Notamacropus eugenii: one gene and its partners. The protein of the gene in region 2 interacts with the protein of the main gene of each other region in a pairwise test. Links are inferred from orthologs where the notes say so. Each region holds a gene or a part of one and is shown on either strand. Other genes may lie near its edges. The genes, in order: ZCCHC10, TFCP2 and CA1.

Region 1 (7,242 bases), on a different chromosome or scaffold from region 2:
CCCTAGAACCTTGAGAGGAGAGATACTTTGGGAGGAGTCCCAAGTATTGCTGTTCTTATAAGAAATACAGAATGAAAAAATTAGAACCAATGTATATATACTGACTATAGCTATGTAAAAGCAACAAACCTGGAGAAAAAGAAAAGGTTCACGGGAATAATAGGATGATATTGTCATTATATCGTAAACTTTCTAGACAAACTTTAGATGCCTTCATGTAAATCATTTTAAAGTCATTTGATTATTTGAATGTTACTGTTTCTTAATATTTACTAAATTTACAATTCTCTTTTAGCCATTTTTTAATTTTATTTTTAATGCTCATTTAAAAAAATTTTGAGTTCCAAATTCTCTCCCTCTCTGCCACCTCTTTCCCCATTAAAAAGGCAAGAAATGTGGTATCAACTATACATGTGAAATCATGTAAAACCTATTTCCATATTAGCCATGTTGCAAAAAAAAAAAGGCAAGAAAAAATAAAGTGAAAATATGATGCTTCAATCCACATTCAGACTCCATTAGTTCTTCCTCTGGAGGTGTATATCATTTTTCATCATAAGTCCTTCCAAATAGTCTTGGATCATTGTCTTGCTCAGAGTAGCCAAGTCATTCACAGTTCTTCATTGTACAATGTTGCTGTTACTGTGTAGCTTGTTCTCCTGGTTTTGTTCATTTTTCATTATCTCGTTTAAGTTTTCCCAGATTTTTTTCTAAAAATATCCTGCTTGTCATTTCTTATAGCACAATAATATTCCATCGCAAAACTATGCCACAACTTGTTCAGCCATTCCCCCATTGATGAGCATCCCCTCAATTTCCAATTCTTTGCCACCACTGAAAGAGCTGCTACAAATATTTTTGTACATTTAGTTCCTTTTCCTTTTCTTTTGATCTCTTTGGGATACGGATCTAATAGTGGTATTGCTGGGTTAAAGGGTATACATGTGAACTTACAATTTTCTAAAAAGAAATAGCAAGTGACAATGTTGAAGAAGCAAATGGGGGAAAAATTATGTTTTTATTTTCACCAACCTCTAACTGAAAAATAGCATTTCCTTGGATTGTAAATTTAAAAAAAAAACTATTCCAGGAGTCCACAGGCTTCATCAAAAGAAGTCAAAGAAGTCCAGGATAAAAAGCAAAACAAAAAATAGCCAAACAAAGGTAAAGAAACTCTATTGTTTCTCTGTAAAAGAATCTACAGGTCCCTTTGAAATCTTTGCTTGTTTTAAAAAGGATTAATTACACAGTTTTGCAACAAGTTTGTCAGTTATTGAGATTGCTTTTCATTTTCAACTGTACTTTCCTTTTCTGTTTCATTGTAAGCTCTGATGATCTTTGAAACATTTGATTCCCCAATAGCCGCTACAATGTTTCCAGTGGTCATGGAAACGAACTTTCTTTCTAAGAGTTACTCTTTTGTACATTTCCTTGGAGTAATATCTATTCTTTAAAACCACAGAATTAAAAACACAGCAAAAAAAAGAACAATGAAACACTAGTGTATCCAACAGTCAACTGATAAAGAAATAAGTAAAGGTTTTGGAAACCAGATCAATCTAGTTTCATCTGGTCAAGGTCATATATTCCGAGTCAGTCTGGTATCAGAGAAAGAATACAAGCATTACTAGTACTGTCAAAAAGTGAAACCATATCAAAATTCACTTACCACTGTTTATGTTTGTCTATACATATAGATGTATTCTGTACATGCCTGCATGTGTATAACTTATCTCCCCTTAGAATGTAAATTATTTGAATTCTGGGACAGCTTGCTTTTGTCTCTGAATACCAGCACTTAACCTTGTGCTTGACGCATAGCAAGGCTTAATAAATGCTTTCTAATGTAGAGGAAATGTACAAAACCTATGTGCTGTATTGGGAAAATATCTCCCCAGAAATACCCTTAGAGTTCAAAGAACATACTCTGAAGAGTTGTATAAAGACAGACCCTCATTCTGATTTCTTCTCAAAGGAAAGACTTCACTAACCATAGATCTTCAGTCTCATCTAGATTTTCCGATGATCTGATGAGATTAACTACAGGAAAACACCCCTACCTAAAACAAATCTGATTTGGGGCTACACCAAGGTTACTGAAAAATTAAGACATTACCTATACCTGTTGAGGTTTATGGATGCTCAGGATCCCCAAATACCGACATGCCAGGTCCTGTCCAAATGAGTTCAACTCAAGCCTTCTTTCAGCCAAAGAAAAACTAAGTTTAATATCTGCCATATTGGGTAGATTTAAGGAATCTGAGTATTTGTGACGCTTGTATTGATAAGCAAGTCTGACAGAATCTGGGTTAGATTGAATATGAGCGCCTTCATGGAGGCAAAATGCATCTTATATACAAAAAGATTGTGAGTGGAATCTAGGGTTGTCCAAGTAGTCTGGGGGAACTAGAGTAAGGATTTAGGGAGGGTTTTGAAGAAGAGTCTAAGGAGGAGCTTGATAGAACTGGGGTGACTAGAGGTCAGAATCAAGAGAATGGGATTTTGATAGGATCAAGGCTGGGAGGTAGCCAGAGACAATCTGGAGGTAACAGACAATGGAGGGCTAGCCTATGTTAAGGGTAACAGATTTGGGCATGAAAAGCCAGATCAAGTGGAAAGATTCAAGGAGAATTCAAGGGGGTTCCCAGAGTCTATACCCCATCACACCCAGAAACAAATTACCTAACTTCCTGTCCCTATTACTCAACCTCAGAAATAGGGAAAGTGACTGAGCAGCCTCACCTAATAGACTCCTTTTGCTACCTGCCCTAAAGTTGTGTAAAACTGTGTAAAGTTGTGTGTAAAAAAAATGTGTGTATCTTCCTCTATTCTTAGGAGTTGTTGGTCACTTGGCAACTACCCATCAGCTAATGCTAATTAAACTCTATCCTCTAACCTTGCCTCTAGATGTATTGACTTTCAGTCAAATGGATTTAGGTAGGAGAAATTATTCTCCAGGATGAATTTAGGATCCCTGGGCTAATACGTTTGATTTAAGGTTGGATTAGAGGCCATGATGGTGCATGTGAAAAACTTAAAAAACATCCTGGGATGCTTTCCTCTTTCTTTTTACCCCAGACACTGGAAAGAATTACAATTTTCGGTTCAAGTCATGGGGAGGGGAGTAGGGGAAGAGATATGTGGGGACATGCCCATTCTGTCTGGAGTTTAATAACTTACACTAATAATAGGATAAGTTGGAACGCTAGGAGTGTGGAGGGTGGAGAGGGCAACACACCCCAATAAGGGAGGAGCAGTGGTTACAAGATACACCCCATGGGAGGGAGGAGGAGAAATAGAAAGAGGGTAGAGAAGAGGAAGAAGGCAACACTGGACGCCCAACTGCCCCACCACTAGATTGTCGGTACGTAGCCTCGGTCTAGGAAGGCAGAGAAGAGGGATCAGAGAGAAGGGAAGGTTAAGTAGGATTGAGCTCCTCCCTTTTGCTACCAATTACGCGGTTTTTGGATTTGTGTGGAACTCCCCATCACTCTCGGAAGCCCGGGACACGCCCCTACAGAGGAGGGAGGGAGAGAAGACCGGCCAGGGGTGGAGGATGGACAGTGACAATGGAGTGAATAGAGCAGAGGGAGGGACATATAGGACACGCCCCCTGAGGGGAGGGAAAGAAGATAGGACACGCCCCTTGTCCCAGGAGCTCTGCCCCCTTCCCCTCCCTTCTGGGACCAAACTGACAGGTTTGAGTTTCCACTTCCAGAACCCATTAAGTGTCTTCCCAGTTTTCATTTCCCCCAAAGCACGGCAACGATGCCCAGGATTCTGGGTCTGGAAGCCAGGGTTGGCCGTCTGTCTCCCCAAGGAGGGCTCAGGCGGATAATATCCCCGGTGTCTACTTCAAGTCCTCCCAGGCCCCGGAGGAAGACTGCGTCCACCAATGCGAGGCCTGGCTGCCCCTCTAGCCACAGCTAGTCCCGTCTCTATGACGTCTAATGAGTTCTAGTTCCACCTAGGGGGAACTTCCCAGGATGCATCGCGGCGGTCCCCGGTTCTCGCTGACATGGCGACTCCCATGCATCGACTTATCGCTCGGAGGCAGGCGTAAGTGAGCACCCCCGGCGGCGTAGGGATTTTTCCATTCTATTTCCCGTAGCCAACCTAACTTTCTTTGAGGACCCTCAACGGCCCTGGGAAGTGGGGTTCCCTCTCTTGGGGGGGCATTGAATGGGGTGAGCCAAGGGGGTGGAAAGGGAGACAACCTAGATGTTGTGGGCCCCGGGAAGAGGGAGAGTGGCCTACGTCGGAGAGCCCCCGGTAGGCAGCTTGGGGAGGTGGAGCGCGGGAGGCCTCCCTTTAGCAAGGGAAGGAACGTCCGAGTTTTTCCAGATAAGAGTGACGTGAGCAGATCTTCGGTGGTTACTGAAACAAATGTCTTTGTACACCCCTGTCAACACTACTGTTGGCTCCAGTCCGCGGCTTTACAACTTGTCATTATTTTCTTTTCATCTTCTCTCACTTTATAGAGGATGATGGAAAAAAATCCCTAATTTAGAGCTTTTTTAAAGCAGGGAAAATTACATGAGGAATGTGCTTGTTAGCTTCAGTTGCCCTATTTATGATTCACAAAGCAAATGTACTATTGAGGATTCTAATATTTAACAGTAGGTAAAGGATAAGGGCTCACGAAGAGTCGAACACGACTGAAAATCGACTAAACAGCAACAAAGGATGTGATCGTGGGAAATAAATATCAGTTCGGTAAACCCAGAAAAAATAATTTGTAGATCCTTGGAGTCTCATTCTAAAAGAATAGAACTTGAAGAAGCTGTAAGATTCTTAAAAAGTTAGTATCGCTTTTTAAAAACAAATATGAGTATTCTGATCATTATGTAAATTGTAGACTTAGGAAGTTTTATTATTATTATACACATAAATCTTGTATGAAAGAAGTAAACATAACTATTTTCCTTTATCATATTTTGACAAATGTAAATAGTCTCATTAAATTTATTTTGGGGAGCTTTTTGTTTTTTGTTTTTCATTGTGTAAGTACGACAAAATATGCGCAAGTATAAAGTTGTACCTGTTGAATAAGTGGGCAGAAAGTTTACAAATAACACTTATTTGGAATTGAAATAAGTTAAAATGTAGTCATACTTTATTTACTGTCACTGTACTTCCAGAACTTGAATTGGAACTTTAACTTGAAAAAATACTCCTCTTTTTTGTATTTAAAGGACGCATTATAAGTCATAAAGGTCAAGTCAACAAGCATTTATTAAGGGAAGGGTTAAGAAATCCTGAATGGTAACACTATTTTTTGGGGGGGTTGGTTTGTTTTCAGTTCTGTCTGACTCTTCCTGACCCCACTTGAAGTTTTCTTGGCAAAGATCCTGGAGTGGTTTGTCATTTTCTTCTCCACTTTATTTTACAGATGAGGATTGAGGCAAACAGGGTTAAGTGACATGCCATGTTAAGTGTCACACAGCTAGTGAGGTTGAATTTGAACTCAGGAAGATGAGTCATCTTGACTCCAAGCCCAATGCTCTATCCATTGCACCCCTAGCTGCCATAAACCTTAGTCTTTTCAGGACTATCATTCCTAAAACTAGGATATTATTCAGTGTTCTTTTAGCTCATATTGTTCTAGCTCACACAGGCTCACACTATATTATCACAGTTACTTGAAAAGAAGCTCAAAATTTCCAATAACATGATATAGGGCAGGCAACAGTAGGGACCAGCTTGGGCCCTAATCTTGGCTACCACCAAACCTATTCCAACTTCAGCTTAAATATAGAAAAATTTTTCTGGCTTTTTTAGGGTTAGCTTCTAGACTCAAACCAAGTTTGTTGGGCCGTGTAATTAAACTGTTATATGCTAAGTTCAATTTTATATACTATAACGTGAAGGACAAAAAAAAAATACAGGGTATAGTCCTTATTCTTTAGGTATTTACCATATCAAAAATTTTTAAGCAAATAATATGTATTAATAATTAGTAATATATTATCAGATGTTTGTGTAGTTCAGATATGCACTCTAGGAATTCAGGAAATTAAAAGATTTAGCTAGTATAAAAACATTGGGCTCTCAACTGAGCTTTGGGTGAGAAATGGAATTTAGATTGGTAGAGATGGGAAGGTAAGCCATACAGGAACAACAGTTTGAATAAATGAAAACACATGTGAACTTGGCTTGTATGGGAACCAGTAATTGGATTAGCCTGATAAGAATGATGGGAAATGGAGTTTTCTAAGTTAAATGGGTTCCACTGTTAAAGGCTGTTTCAGAGGAAGAAGGGATGAAATTTTAGAAAACTGTATGAAAACTCCAAAACTTAAAAATTTACTCATTTTGATAGCTGGATAGATCAATAGATCTCATTTATGTTGGTATTCCCTTCACCAGTGCAGATTGCATACCTTCTTTTCCTAAATAATTCTTTCCTGTACTTTAATACTTCAGTGAATTTGTATTCTGCTTGATGCGGGTAACCCTCCAGAATGCAGATCATAACTGTTAATGCCCTCTCATTATGTGTAACTCTTATCCATGTCATCCCACAAATCTTCTATAGGAGTTCCATGAAATGTTTAGGGGCTTTCCCTTAAATCTCCTGTTGATTCATGGATACCAATGCCGTACATCAGTCATCCATCCCTTGCTCTCTTGACATGACTTGCCCATCTTTTCTTTCTAATGGCTTCTTTTAAAGATCCTCATCCATGTCTTCCACAGGTGTTCTTTTGAGGGTCTGCCTAATGTAATGAAAGCTTTTTTCTAGATCTTTTAATATTTCATGAATATCATTATAGTGCATAGTGTCCGTTATTTCTCACTCTCCCAACATTAGTAGCTTTATTCCTTCTAAATCATACATTTACTTGATAATCTTTCATGACATTTTTGTGTGCAAGTCATCATTGGCAATATCCTACTATCTATTTCAGAAAAATCTTTTTCAATTAAATATTTATTAATGCCAGCAACATGAAAGGGATTATTCTTAGTATCAGATATTTTAAAAAAACAGCCCTTACCTTCATGGAGCTTACCTTCTTCTGGAGGAAGATACAAGATAATTTGATAAGGGAAAGGCATAAACAGCTGGGGGAGTCAGGGAATATTTTACTGATGAGGTGCCATCTGAGATAAATCTTGAAGGAAGACAAAGATTCTGAGAAGTGGAGATAAGGGAGTGACTTTCCAAAGAGTGGAATATGTTTTTTACAATATACCTGGTCAGAAAATGGAACATCAAGTTCAGGGAAGTCTAATTTG
Region 2 (7,242 bases):
AAATCAGATTAAAGTTTTAGACTAAGAGAAGAGACATGGGAAATTACTCTGAAATATGAGATTTATGAAAATTTCAGTATGGCTCTCTTGATGGTTACATATCTTTCCTCCATTTGAGAATCCTCTAACTCTTCATCAATATCCTGACTTTTAGGGGCTGGCCACGTGACTTTTAAAATGCAGTAAAGTAAATAACAATAAAAGCATTGTTACAGAGGAAAACTATAAAGAAGCTATTCTATCCAATCATCTACCCTGACAACCTCCTCCTAAGCTCATTGAAGGGCCAAAGAATAAATTTTGTGTTTGGAATTCACTAAGTTCGGTTCTACAAACAAATGAAGAAAATGGTGTTAAGCACCAGGATTCATGGCAGCCGATTTCAGAATACCAGCAAGGCTGGTCTCTCACCCACACAATGACTAGTCTTGTCTAGCATTGCTCTCTGGCCACAACAATTCCTGGGTCTGTCTATTCTCTGTTCTAATTTTCTATACTACAAGTCTCCAAAATTTGTCCCAGTTTATCTTTTATCATGCTCACCTTAAGTTGTATCAGCAAAGGTTGCAGAAGAAGAAACTAGTTTCAGCTTGTCTGACTCACCCAGAACTCTTAATTTTGTAAGCCTTGGTAAGTTCTTGGCCACATGGAAAGAATGACATGGAATAGTAGACCAAAAGTCTCTCTCCATAGCAAAATCTAACATCAAGCAACAGGGCAGGATCAAGTGATATGACCTCATGTGACATCTTGTTCCATTTCTCAACATCTGCTTTCATCCTTGTCACAAATTCATTTGAAGGCAATACTGCTTTCGATATCCTGAGGACTGTAGCATCTCTGGTGACTTCTCAGGCTCTCATAGGGATGAAATTTTGAAAGGCAAGTTACACAGGGAAGGTGTTTCATCTGATATTTTTTTCATAGATATGAATGATTTTCTAGGAAACATCATCTTGATCACCATAAAGATCAAGAAAATTAAGTTGAAAATGTCTTCCTGAAGCCCATCATGTCAGTTCTGTATCAACATTCTGAATCTGGGTAAAGCCTGAAGATAAAGGATAGCCTCTCTATTGTTTCTAGAAGATTTCATTCCTTGGGCATGCCACTGAACAAAAATAAGAGTTCTGCCCTCAAAACCCTAGGAGGATGGAAGGAGTGAGAAGATGACTATGTTTGATTATTGACTTCCAAAAGGAAGGAAGGAAATAAACATTTATTAAATGTCTACTATATGCTAGGCATTGTGCTAAGCACTTTATATTAGGGACTATTTCATTCTTAACCATTCTGTGCAGCAGTACACGTCACACCATAAGTAGATGATAGTACCTTGCCATTGTCCAAATAAGACTATACTACTACTGACCTAAACTTAATCATCTATACATTAAAAAAAAAAAAACTTTTAGAAGATTTTTAGATAACAATCATTTCCATTTCTTTTTATATATAAAGAACAGAATACTAGTATGCTAGTTTCTGAAAGGTCTTGGGATCTCAGTTCTTTTCATTGTGGGACACTTCACTCATTCCTTGAAGCTCCCCTACTTTAAAGGTTGAATCATAGAATGTTAGAATTAGAAAGAACTTTCAGAGATCATCTAGTCCAGGGTTCGTAACCTTTTTTTGTTTCAGGAATTCCTTTGACAATCTGGTGAAATCCATGGATTCAGAAGAATGCTTTTAAGTACATAAAAATAAAATACAGAATTATAAAGGACACGAATTATATTTCAAGTTATGAAAATATTTAAAAAAATACAAACAAGTCCACAGATCTTCAGTTAAGAACCTCTGATATACTACAACCTTTCCATTTTCCAGATGAGGAAACCGAGACACAGAGAAGCTTGAACATCACACAGAAAATTAGTGAGAGGCAGAACCCCTATCTTGTTGTTTGAGGTTGGGGTAGTACAGTAGGAAGCACTCTGGAGTCAGAGCACCTAGGACCAAGCTTTGCCTCTACCTGGGTGACCAGGACTGTGTGACTTTCTAGCCCCAGAGTTCTTATGATCTCCTGATTTGTATAGCTAATTGAGTTACCCCACCATACCTCCACCTGCGCTGAGCCTAGAGCTTCTTTCCTTGGGAGGTTTGAAAGCTGGGACCATAAACATAGTATATAAAGGTAGGTTCTCACTCTTTTTTGTCAGGTTGCTTTGGCAGTCTGGTGAATCCTGTGAACTCCTTCTCATAAAATGTAAAAATGCACCCAATAAAATGCACAGGACCACAAGAGAAATCTAGGGCTGCCTCCTTTGGTCCACACAGCAACCCTGCGCTATTATAACACACTTTTACAGATGAGGAAACTGAGGCTGAAGGAAGTCAAGTGACCCTTCTTGGGTCAGACAGCTGGAAAGAGCCTGAGGCAGGATTTAAATATCCAGAGTATTACAAGTGCTGCGTGCCAGGAACTGTGCTAAGCGTCTTTACAATTACTGTCTCATCTGATCTTCACAATAATCCTGCAAGGTAGTTGTTATTATTATCACCCCCATTTTACAGAGGAGGAAACTGAGGCAAACAAGGGTTAAGCGACTTGCGCAGGGTCACACAGCCAGCGTTTAAGGCATGATTTGGACGCACGTTTTGCTCACCCCAGATCCAGGACTTAAGTCACTGTGAGCAACCTAGCTGCCTAGGTATAAAAATGTTTAAAAGACAAACAAAGTTCACGGATCTTAGGTTAAGAATGCTGAGGGCCAGGCTTGGGAGGGCTTATGACCCGCAGAGGGAAGATTAAGGTAGAGAAAGATAAAGCGTAGCGAGGAGGAGCGAGAAGGACCTGGACCGACTGAGCGGGTACCCAAACTCAGCGCTCTCTTCTCAAACCCCCTTAGTCCCGCCCCCGAAGGCGGAGAACTGGGGAGAAACTGCCAATCTCTGCCGCAGAGAGTGATAGCCACGCCCCCTCATTGGGGAGAGCCTAGAGACGTCACGGGAGCTGAGGCGGTCCCACTCCGAGGGACCCACTAGGATTGGTTAGCCGGGCAGCGGTGGGTGTTGAGGCGGAGCAATGATTGGCGGGGAGTGGGGGGTGCTGCGAGGCGGGCGGCGGGGTGGGGCCTCGGCAGGGCTGAGTTTTGAGGCGAGCCCTGGCGGTCCTTCTCCACGCTTTGTGCTGTAGGGGGAGGGTTTAGGGGTTTGGCTGGGTGAGGGTGGGGGTGGGAAGTGAGCGGGGACAACTCCTAAGAAATTTATTCTAACTTTAGTTCTGAGGGGACCTCTGGGTCGGGGAAGGGTGACCGGAAGCGAGACTAGGACTGACCGGAAGTTAGGCCTGTGGAGGGGGAAGAGGAGAGAGCAGGCCGCTAGGGGTGGGATACTTGTGGGGAGGGTAGGGGGTGGGGTGGGTGGGGAACCGGGAGACCCGTGGGTAGATCTGCCCGGGGGCGTGGGCCGGGCCCAGAGGCCTTGGACTGGCTGCTGCTGGGGGCGGCACCGCGGCTGGGCGATCCCGGATCTGAGTGTCTGCGCCCTGGCTGTGCGCTGGAGGAGCCCCGAGGGGTCTCGCCGCTTCCCCCGAGCCAGGGACCAGGCAGGGGGGCCCAGACTCCCGGGAGGGGCAGGTCAGGGCCGAAGGCGGGCTGTGGAGGTCCGGGTGGGCGTGTGCGAACTTGCCTTTAGCCGCGGCTCGGGGGGCGGAGTTGCAGCCCCGCCGCCCGGGTCGGTGCTCGCGGAGCCCCTGCCTAGCGCGAGGAAGACCGCCGTCTCCAAGGGGGCACTGTGGAAGGAGGCAGCATGGCCTGGGCCCTGAAGCTACCGCTCACCGACGAGGTGATCGAGTCCGGGCTGGTGCAGGACTTTGACGCCAGTCTGTCCGGGATCGGTCAGGAGCTGGGCGCGGGGGCCTATAGTATGAGGTGAGTGACCTGGCCCCGCGGGCCAGGCCTTGGTGGGGTTTGGGTGGTCTGGGTAACAAAAGGTCTCCCTGAGAAAGTGTCTTGTAGGTGAGAATGGTAGAGATGTTTTGGGTGTGGGTGCTCTAACTTGGGTCTGCACTGTTCTCTCCTCTCCCTCCTCCCCTTTCCCCCCCTCCTTTTTCCTTCTCTCCATGTATTTCTCCTCTTTTCCCTCTTCTCCACCCTCTTTTTCTTCCCTTCGCTCTCTTCTCTCCCATCTTTCCCCTCTACCCCCATCTCCCTCCCTCCCACCCCCTCCCTTCCCCCCTGCTTTGGGTGCTAGAGGTAAAGGAAAAAGTGAAGAAAGGTTATTCGGAAGTTCCCTGCATCTTGCACGAGGGAGGTCTTAATCAGAATGCAGAAATGGATGGTTTTGCGGTTTAGTGGGGCAGTGCCGAGTGTCCGTGTACTTCGTTAGTAGAGCTGGGTTTGGGGCTTACGTGCAGGTGCTGCTGGACGGCTGGACACAAAGTAACTTCTTAACGAGTACTTGTTGAAAGGGAACGGAAGGCGTGCTACACCCTAATGAAAGGCATTTCATTTGCCTGAGGGTAGGCAAATTCTGTTCCGTGTGTAATTCACAAAAATATTTGCCAATATATTTTGTTTTCATTATCACTGTACCCCTCCCCCAAACCCTCCCAGAGAACCATCCCTTTTAACAAAGAATGAAAAGAGTTCATCCAAACTAGCCAACGTATCCCCCCAAAATCTAGCTTTTTGTGCAGTGGTCTCCCCCACCTCTGCACAAATGCACAAAAGAAAAAGCATGGGGGAGGCCAAACTTGGTCATTGTAATTTTATGCTATAGTTATATTACTGAATTGTAATTCAGTTTCAATTACTTTGTTCTTTCCATTTTCATTGTTGTTATGTATATGGTTTTCCTGGTTCAGCTTCACTTTTTATCATTTTGTCTTTCCAACACTTCTTCATATTTATCATCCTTGTCATTTCTTACAGCATGGTGATATTCTATCACAGTTATGTATTGCAGTTTGTTTACCATCACCTGGTCTGTAAATGTTCTTGTTTCCAGTTCTTTGGTACCACAAAAAGTGCTGCTGTAAATATATTATTGTATACGAGACCTGTCTTGATCTGCTTGAGCTATTTGCCTAGCAGTGGACCATGTCTAATTAAGAATTATATCTGTGTTTTCGAGTGATGGAAGCTCCTTAAGGAGCAGGTCTGTTTTGGCTTCAATCTTTTTATCCATAGTACCTGGTATGTAGTAATTGTTTCGTACATGCTTGTTGAATAAATGAAAGATTAGCATTTTGCTTTTCCTCATGAAATATTCTTTTACTTATTTCTTTCTCAACCAAGAAAGCATTTATTAAGTGATTTCGGGCACTGGAAATAAGAAAACAAGCAAAACGGTCCTTTTACTCATGGAGCTTATATTATAATGGAAGAAATAACAGGGGTACACATACATTCAAAGCAGTTTTGTGGAGAAGGCACTAACAGTTGGGGGGATGAGGAAAAGTGGGTCTTGAAGGAAACCAGGGATCCTTAGAGACCAAGGTAAGGAAGTGGTCAGACAGATGAGCAGTCAGTGCAAAGACATTGTGATGAGAAATGGAGTGGGGAGTATGAGGAATAGCAAGAATACATGTGAACAGTAAAGTGTAACTACGGTGAGGCTATTGCGGTAGTGAGGTGAGAGATGATGAGGGTTTGAACCCAGCGATGGTTGTGTGAGTGAAGAGAAGGGCAATGGGTGCAGTAGATACTGTGGAAGTAGAAACATTGCTTGAAAACTAATTGGATTCATGAAGCAAGTAAGACTTGAGCTTGATGTGCCCTTGAGATGCCCAGTTTAGAATGGGCACTCAGCACTTGGTGATGTGGCATTGGAACTCAAGAGAGAGACTAGGGTGGAATATATATACAGATACGCGTGTATGTATATGTCAAATGCACACATAGAGGTGATGATTAAACCCACACGATCTCTGACATTACCAAATAAAAGAAGTAGAGAAGATGGCCTAGGGTAGAGGGAACAGTTAAAGGCAGTGATGTGCTTCACAATCCACATCATTAGATATAAAGAAGACTGACACATAAGAGGAAAACCAGGAGAGAAGTTTCTCACATGAAAATCCAAAGAGAAGAAAATATCCAGGAAAAGAGGGTGTTCACCAGTGTTGAGTCAAATGAAGCCAAGAGACTGAGAGGGATGAAGGTTGAGAAAAGACTAAGAGTTTTGATTTAAAAGATCTTTGGTAACTTACGAGAGAACAATGTCAATTGATGATGCTGTCCAAACCAGAGCTAGATTGCAGAGGGGGGGAGAGGAGAGGAAGTGGAGTTAAGGAGTATAGATAATTTTTTCTATGAGTTTGGCTGACAAAGAGAGGGAAGATGTAGGAAGATAAGTAGGATCTCATGAGGTTTGTTTTTTTCAGCATATTATTATTGTAACCATCTGTAAATTGTTCTCCTTGGTTTGCTCATTTTGTTATATCTCAGTTTGTATGTTTCCATATTTCTTTAAATTGATCAGTCTTCACTTCTTATGGTGCTATACAATTTCACTTTGAATTTCACTTTGATATACCACAGTTTGTTTGGCCATTCCTCAATTGGTGGGCACCATTTTGTTTACTATTCTTTACTACAACAGAAAGTGTTGCTATAATGATAATAGTAACTAACTTCTTTAATATATTGACTTATTTAAGGTTTGCAAAGCACTTTACAAACATCCCATTTTATCCTCACAACAACCATGAGAGATAGGTACTGTTATTATCCCCCTTTTTTGCACGAGTAAAATGAAGCAAAGAGGTGAAATGACTTGCCCAGGGTCACACAACTGATAATTATATGAGGCAAGATTTGAATTAGGTCTTTCTGACTTCAAGGCCAGAGCTCTATCCACTGTGCCTCTTAGCCACTGTAAATATTCTTGTTCATATGAGTCCTTTTCCTCTTTCCTTGACCTCTTTTGATTGGGCTCATGCCTGATACTACCACTAGGTTAGTCAAATCAAATCAACAAGTATTTGCTTAACTTTTCCTATATGCCAGGCATTGTGCTAAGCACTGGGGATATAGGTGAGCAAAAAAAAAAAAAAAAAGTCCCTGCCCTCATGGAGTTCACATCAGAGTCTAATGGGGGAAGCATGCGTACTGCTATGTACAAACTATATATATGTATATGTATATGTATGTGTATATATATATATATATATATACATATATATATATGAGATAAATTGTAGGTAGTCTGAGAGGGAAGACACTAGTATTACAGCAGATTAAAATGCTTTCTTACAGAAGGTGAAATTTTAGCTAAGACTTTGGGGAAGCCAAG
Region 3 (7,242 bases), on a different chromosome or scaffold from region 2:
ACCAGCAATTCCAGTTAGTATTTTGTTTACAATATAGCTCTTTAAAAATTATGAAATCCTACGTAACTTAGCAATATCTCCAACAGAGACTGCTTATGTAAATTGACAAGGTAATGAGCTATTAAAATAATTTATTTGGTTGGCTGAAAGTTTTTCTACTTGAAAAATATGTAAACACTAAAGGAAAAACACAGAAAGGCATAATGGATGATAATAGTAAGTATTAGCATTTATAAAGCACTTTAAGTTTCGTAAAGCACTTTACAAATATTATCTCATTTAATCCTCATAACAATCCTGGATGGAAGGTGTTATTACTGTTCCCATTTTACAGATGAGGAAAACTGAAGTAGTGAGAGGTTAAGTGATTTACTGAGGGACATTTGCCAATAAGTCAGAGGTGGGATCTGAACCCAGGTCTTCCTAATTCCAAGACTAACACTTGATTTATTGGGCAAAGTCCAACAGTATCATTTTACAGATAAAGAAAACTGAGACCTCAGGAAGTGACCTGACTTGACTAGTTAGTGAAGCTAAGGAATAAATTATTCCTAGTAGAAATGATTCAAATTTCAGTTACTCATCGATTCCCTGCTTTGTCCCTGTTTTTCTGTGCATCAGCAACAGTTGGGCAAAAGACTTTACATTAATCTTAGTATTTTTGCATTTTTCCCATTCACCTACATGCTCATTAGCCTAAATATGAATAAATGTATATTTCTTTCAGAGACTGCCAACTGGAGAAAGACTTCTTTAAAAAGTGATGACCATATGTATGGACTGAACAGTCAGTTTTGCTCAAGAAAAGCCATGGAAGTCATTTCTCCTGGAGAGCAGGAATGGAAGGAAAGTGGAATTATTATTTTTTGGTTTGCTGATGGATGAGAGCAGAGAACACACATAGAAATTAAATACTTGGAATTTGACAAATTCCAGACAAGACCACGTTCTTTCCAATATATCATGCTAAATAGCAGTAGTAATAGACTTACTCATCTCCCCTCTGAGTATCCTTGGTGCCAAGAAAAGATGGGCTTATCTTTTTAATTGAAAATTCTCTCTTTATTATTATTACATTAATAATATATTAATACTTTTAAACTTGACAATACCCACTACAGAGAGGGAAAGAGAAGAGAATAGTAATAGTCTATCTAACATGTTCCAGCATTCAGCATGATGAAAACAACTGCTTGGTGGCACAGCGTCAGGAAGATCTGAGTTCAAGCCTGCCTCAGACACTTTGTCCTCCAGAACTGCTTCCTTTCCTCCCCCATCATACCAGCGCATTCTGAACTAGAACTTCAGTTCTTCAGGTTCCAGTCTTCTCCCAGTCCCTGCCCTTTCTCTCGTTTTTCTTCTCCCCACAAACTGATCTTCCTAGCCCTGATGACAAGGGGAAGGATGAGCTATCCAAGGAATGCCCTGTGGAGCATCTCTGGAGCATTTCAGAATTCACTCTGTCCACCTCTTCCCTTTCTTTTCCTGGCCTGACTTCAGCTGAAACAGTCTCTGGGTCTCTTCCTCTGGAGCAGCTCTGGGTTGGAGGCTTTGATGACTTGCGCTGTCATTGCTACCAGAAATATCAACTCATTCCCAAACCCCTCTATCCCCAGTGAAGTGGGGAAAAGGAGTACCTCCAGAGGGGCACTCTCTGCCCCCTTACTCAATCAATGGATCTGGAGTCCAAAATCTCCTCAACAACAAAAACAAGCAACTAGCTGTGTGACCTTGGGCAAGTCCCTTAACCTCTCTGAGACTTAGTTTCTTCATCTGTAAAATGAGGGTAATGACAGCCACAGGGTTCTCGTGAAGATCAAATGAGATTATTTAGGTAAAGTGCCTGGTAGACCTTGAAGTGGTATATATTAGCCATTATTACTAAGTGTTTTAAAATCAAAATTATCTTGTAATTGAAAAGTACTACAGAGTTGTAGGGGTCACTAGGTTGCATAGTGGATAAAGTGCCAGGTCTGGAGTCAGGGAGATCCTAGTTCAAATCTGACCTCAGACACTTACTAGCTGTGTGACCCTGAGCAAATCAGTTAACCCTGTTTCCTCAGTTTCCTCATCCATCAAGGTAGCTGGAGAAGAAATGGCAAACCACTCAGTATTTTTGGTAAGAAAAACCTCAAATGGGGTCATGAAGATTCAGGCGTGACTGAAAAATGACTGAACAACAACAAAAGAATTGTAGAGGGTAGTAAAAGTTATATCATGAAATGTAAAGGGGGTAAAGGTTGAGTTGGGTGCTTTTTTTCTTCAGTTAAGATTTCTTTATTATCTATTATAATCACTATAGGGAAGGTAAAATACCCTAAAAATCAGCAGAATTTTGTGGGTGGGTGTGTTTTTTTAAACTGCTCATTTCTTTTTCATTTTACCTGAGTCATGGAAATAAGTCAACAATTCTTGATTATATTGGTACATGTGGAGCTGGGAAGCATCTATAAAAACCACGGGTGGAGGCACAGAATATACATAGGAGAGAGCCTGTGTATGACACTATCAGTCACTTTAGTCACAGCTGTGTTGGTAGAAGAAAACAGAAGGACATGGCGAGCCTGAACTGGTCATATGAGGGAGAAAATGGTGAGCATTCTTCTACCATTCCATATGGGAGGCAGAGCATTTATTCTCTTTTGAACATTCAGTATCTGGTAACATTAAAAAAATGGATTAAGAGTTATAGAGGCCAAGATAGGTGAAATAATATTATTTTTATAATGATAGTAGGTAACCATGGTGGTTCTACAAATTTGCTTGTCTTTTGTTTTCATGAAATGTATTTTATCCAGTTTTGTAAGGTTAGCAGACATTCCATTTTAGCATGAAATAGTGCAAAGAAAAAACATTCTCTGATGCTAGATTTTGACTTACTTGCATGAAATATTTTAAAATATTTGATATAACAAGATATTTAATATAATCTTTATATGTGTTAAGGAAACTTCTGAAAAGTAACAGAGGTAGTTTATAAAAAAAAAAATCAAGTGGAGATTTGCATATTTTTGCATATTTTGCATATGTTTACATATTTTTGTCTTTCTAGGGCCTGAAAACTGGAGCAAACTCTACCCCATTGCTAATGGAAACAATCAGTCTCCTATTGACATTAAGACCAAAGAGGTCAAACATGATGCTTCTCTGAAACCCTTCAGTGTCTCCTACAACCCAGCAACGGCCAAAGAAATCATCAACGTGGGTCATTCTTTCAGTGTAAATTACGAAGACAAAGATAACCAATCAGGTGAGCAAAACCATGCTTCTTCCTCCTTACTTTCCAAGGTAAACAGCAGATCAATCAATCAACCAATATTAATTTAACACCTCCTATTTGCTAAATATTCTGCTAAGTGCTTGATATACAAAGACAAAAGCAAAACAGTGAGGGAACTTGCTTAAATACTCACAGGGGAGACAGCACATATATATATTAGTGTACTAAAAATACATAAAATGTAGATACAAGGTAATCTTAGGGAGAAAGACAGCAGCAGCTGGGGGAACTAAGAAAGTTCTATTGTAGAGGAGGGAGTTTGAGCTGCCTTGAAGAAAACCAGGAATTCCAAGACGTGAAGGGTAAAAGGGAGAGAGAGCATTCTAGGAATGGGGGACAGGTCACTTATGTATGAGAAACAGAAAATAGGCCAGTATGGCTAAAATGGAATGTGAGTTGCAGAAGTCAGTTGGCAGAGTGGGCAAAGTCTTGTACTTAGAGTCAGAAAGACCTGAATTCAAATTCAGCTTTGAACACTAACTTTGTGACCCTGCACAAATCACTTAGCCCATAGCCTCAGTTTCCTCTTCTGTAAAATGGGGATAATAACAGCACCTATCTCTCACAGCACTGTTGTAAAAATCATTTGAGATATGAAAGCACTTAGCAAACCTTAAAGCATTTTATAAATGCTAGCTATTATGGAGGAAAAGGTTATGAAAGAAGACTGGAGGTAAAATATTTTTGAAATGTTTTAAATATCCAACAGAGGACTGTATATTTCATCCTAGAGGTAATAGGGAGAGATCATCCTCATCCTCATCATTCATATAGTGCCTATTTTGTGCCAGGCACTCAGCCAAATGTTTTATAAAGGCTGTTTCATTTGATCCTCAAAATAACCCTGGGAGGTAGATGTTATTATCATATGTATATATATATATATATATATATATATATATATATATAATTTTATATTATTCTTATCCCTATTTCACTGTTGAAGAAACTGAGGCAGATAGAGGTTAGATTTGTCTTGTTAGACTTGTCCAAGGTCACACAGCTAGTAATTGAAGATAAAGCTGAACACAGGTTATTTCTGATACTAGGCCTACATTCCATCTATCGGATGCTAGGCCTACATACTATCTACTGAGCCACCTAGCTACTGAAATAAGGAGCAGGGTGACAGTCTGAGCCTTTAAGGAAAATCACTTTAGAGGTAGTTGGACAACAGATCGGAGTGGAGAGGGAGCCCGATTATGAAGTGATTACAATAATCCAGGAGAAAAATGCAGAGGGCCTGAACTAGGTTGGGTGGATTTATAGGAGAGTTTTTGTAGAAATAGAAACAACAAAATTTGTCAACTCTTTCGATAAATGAGATGGATGAGAATGAGGACATCATAGAGATTGAGAACCTAGGTGACTACAAGGACCAAGTTGCCATCAACAGTAGTGGGAAAGTTGGGTAGAAGGAAGGACTTGGTGGGGGTAGGGGTGGGGGTGGAGAAAGTATAATTAAGAAATACAATAGCCAATTAGAAATATATTTATTCTGTAGCACATTATACACAATGCTAAAAATTATCATAATAAAGTTCTATATAAGGTTAGTCCAGGGATGGGGAATCTGCAGCTTTGAGGCCACATGTGGCCTTCTAGGTCCTCGGGTGCAGCCTTTTGACTGAGTCTAAGTTTTACACATCAAATCCATTTATAAAGGGGATTTGTTCTATGAAATTTGGATTCAATCAAAGGGCTGCACTGAGGACCTAGAGGGCCACATGTGGCCTTGAGGCCACACGTTTCCTACCCTTAGGCTAGTCCTACAAAAAATTATAAAGCTGACAAAACTGGTCTCTTGGGCTCTCTTGTCTTTTCAACTCCACTCAGTGGTCCTTTCTCCCCCTGCACAGAGCTTTGAGTCCATCTATGTATTTTTTTCCTACTTTTCTCCATCAACACCTGCTCTCTAGAAAGGATCTGATTAACCCAACACTAACGGGCATGTGATTAACATGATTTAAAGTATTGCTTTCCTCAGGAAAATCTGCATTTTTAACAAGGCCAAAGAAATAACTTTCTGGTAGTAGAATGTGAAGCATCAGTGACGAGGCCCAGGAGATAATTGTTTTTGGTTCAGGAGTGCTTTTCAGGCACCCCTAAAATCACAACTAAGTAGTTGCCTACTGCAAGATTGGTCTAGGTTCTAGACTTTTTGTACAAGCCTCTCAACATACACTTTAGGTGCATCATTGGCCTTGCTAACAACATTCTTATTGAACATTGGTGCCTGTTTAATTGACATTTGTATAATAGGCAAAAAAAAATTGCAAATAGATGATGGAAGATACAAGCAAATGAATGAACAAATAGATGAAACACATGTTAATCAATTGCTATGTGCAAAGCACTATGATGAAATAATTTTTTATGAAACAACACAAGTCAATAACAAATTAGAGGGATTAGCAATCCCTCAGATCTTTTCTTTTTATCCCCATACTTCATCTACTTCAACTCTACTCCCACTTGAAGTTTTAACCCTGGTCCAACTTCTGCTGATTGGATTGGGGTTTCTAACTTGTAACCAGATGCTTTCTTTCTCATTCTAGTACTAAAAGGAGGTCCACTTGCTGGAAGCTTCAGGCTGCGGCAGTTTCATTTCCACTGGGGGAGTGCCGATGACCATGGTTCTGAGCACACAATAGATGGAGTAAAATATTCAGCCGAGGTAAAATGATTGCAAGAGACATAACAGTATTATGGGAGCAGCTTCTGAGAATTAATCCCCTGGTTCCTCCCACTCATCTCCCAACCCAGCTGAGTAGATTTTTTAAAAGTGAATGCTGTCTCCCTCAATCTATAGAAATCACAGGCAGTGCTTATACATATATATGTGTGTGTGTATATATATATGTATATATATGTATGTGTGTATATATACGTGTATATATACATATGTTATCCTTCAGAGAAAGTAGGATGGTAGATCAATGTTTTGAAAGACCCATGATTTCAATGATGTGACATCATGTCCAAAAATACAGATGAAACTTTTTACCAGACTTACAGAAAATTATTCAATTGGATGATTTTTAAAATATGGTATCCCCTCCAGATACTTTTGAGTATTCCAAAAAAATAGTAAGCAATCAAAAAAAATAACAGAAGTAGGGCACATTAGAATTCGATGTCATTTTATTCAGTAGAAATATCTTACTTAAGGAATTTTCAGAATTTTGAGGAATTACATCACCTAATTTTGGATTGCTTCCTTATCATCCTTTATAGTTTTTTTTAACTCTGAGAACTAGGAGGAGGAATATGTTTTTTAAATCATTCTACATGCCTGATATAAAATTTAATTACTCTTCTAACCCAGCATCTATCTTTAATTTGAATATATCTTTATTTCTTAAATAGAGCAACTATAAGTGAAATATGACCAAGTTTCCTGCTGCATTGTGAACCATAAAGTGATCTTTACAATGTTATATAAAGAAAGTCATATAAAGTAGAAGTCAAAGAATAACCCAGATCAGAGAAAAGAAAGAAAGATCTACAAAAGATTATATATCCTTGTTTGGGATATATTATTTATGTAACCTACATAAAAAGCCATATTGTTTACCAGAAGCAAACAATCTCTTTCTAAATCATGCTCAAAGACAATTACAACCTCCAAAATACTGATGCTTAAGACTTGAAAATGCTACATCAAATTACCTCATAAACTTGCTGCTAAGGAATACTGGATGACACAGTTTAAAAAGTTATAGCTTTGGAGTCAGAGAACCTGAGTTCTAATTCACTTTCTACCTGAATGATCTTAGACAACATTGAACCCCTCTAGACCTGTTTGGCAAGATGAGGGGTTTGGACTAAATCAACTCTGAGGTGCCAACTTTGTAGGCAGCTGGGGGACACAATGAGCGAGGACTGGGTGTGGAGTCAGAAAGACTTGAATTCAAATCTAGTCCCAGACACTTGCTAGCAATGACTGTACACAAGTCATT

Evidence for each region.
Region 1: the proteins of TFCP2 (region 2) and ZCCHC10 interact in binary tests that used the Homo sapiens proteins (3 or more experiments, as listed by UniProt). The two-hybrid records come from large-scale screens. The link is inferred for Notamacropus eugenii from reciprocal best matches to the Homo sapiens genes TFCP2 and ZCCHC10.
Region 3: the proteins of TFCP2 (region 2) and CA1 interact in binary tests that used the Homo sapiens proteins (3 or more experiments, as listed by UniProt). The two-hybrid records come from large-scale screens. The link is inferred for Notamacropus eugenii from reciprocal best matches to the Homo sapiens genes TFCP2 and CA1.

The regions. Positions count from the first base shown.
Region 1 is NC_092872.1:345,603,996-345,611,237, reverse strand, and holds the start of ZCCHC10 (zinc finger CCHC domain-containing protein 10), read left to right. Parts: upstream 1-3,294; 5' UTR 3,295-3,364; intron 3,365-3,971; 5' UTR 3,972-4,018; coding exon 4,019-4,059; intron 4,060-7,242.
Region 2 is NC_092874.1:223,523,561-223,530,802, reverse strand, and holds the start of TFCP2 (alpha-globin transcription factor CP2), read left to right. Parts: upstream 1-3,439; 5' UTR 3,440-3,753; coding exon 3,754-3,875; intron 3,876-7,242.
Region 3 is NC_092875.1:317,601,305-317,608,546, reverse strand, and holds the start of CA1 (carbonic anhydrase 1), read left to right. Parts: upstream 1-2,484; 5' UTR 2,485-2,555; coding exon 2,556-2,592; intron 2,593-3,052; coding exon 3,053-3,250; intron 3,251-5,838; coding exon 5,839-5,957; intron 5,958-7,242. UniProt on the Homo sapiens protein: Catalyzes the reversible hydration of carbon dioxide. Can hydrate cyanamide to urea.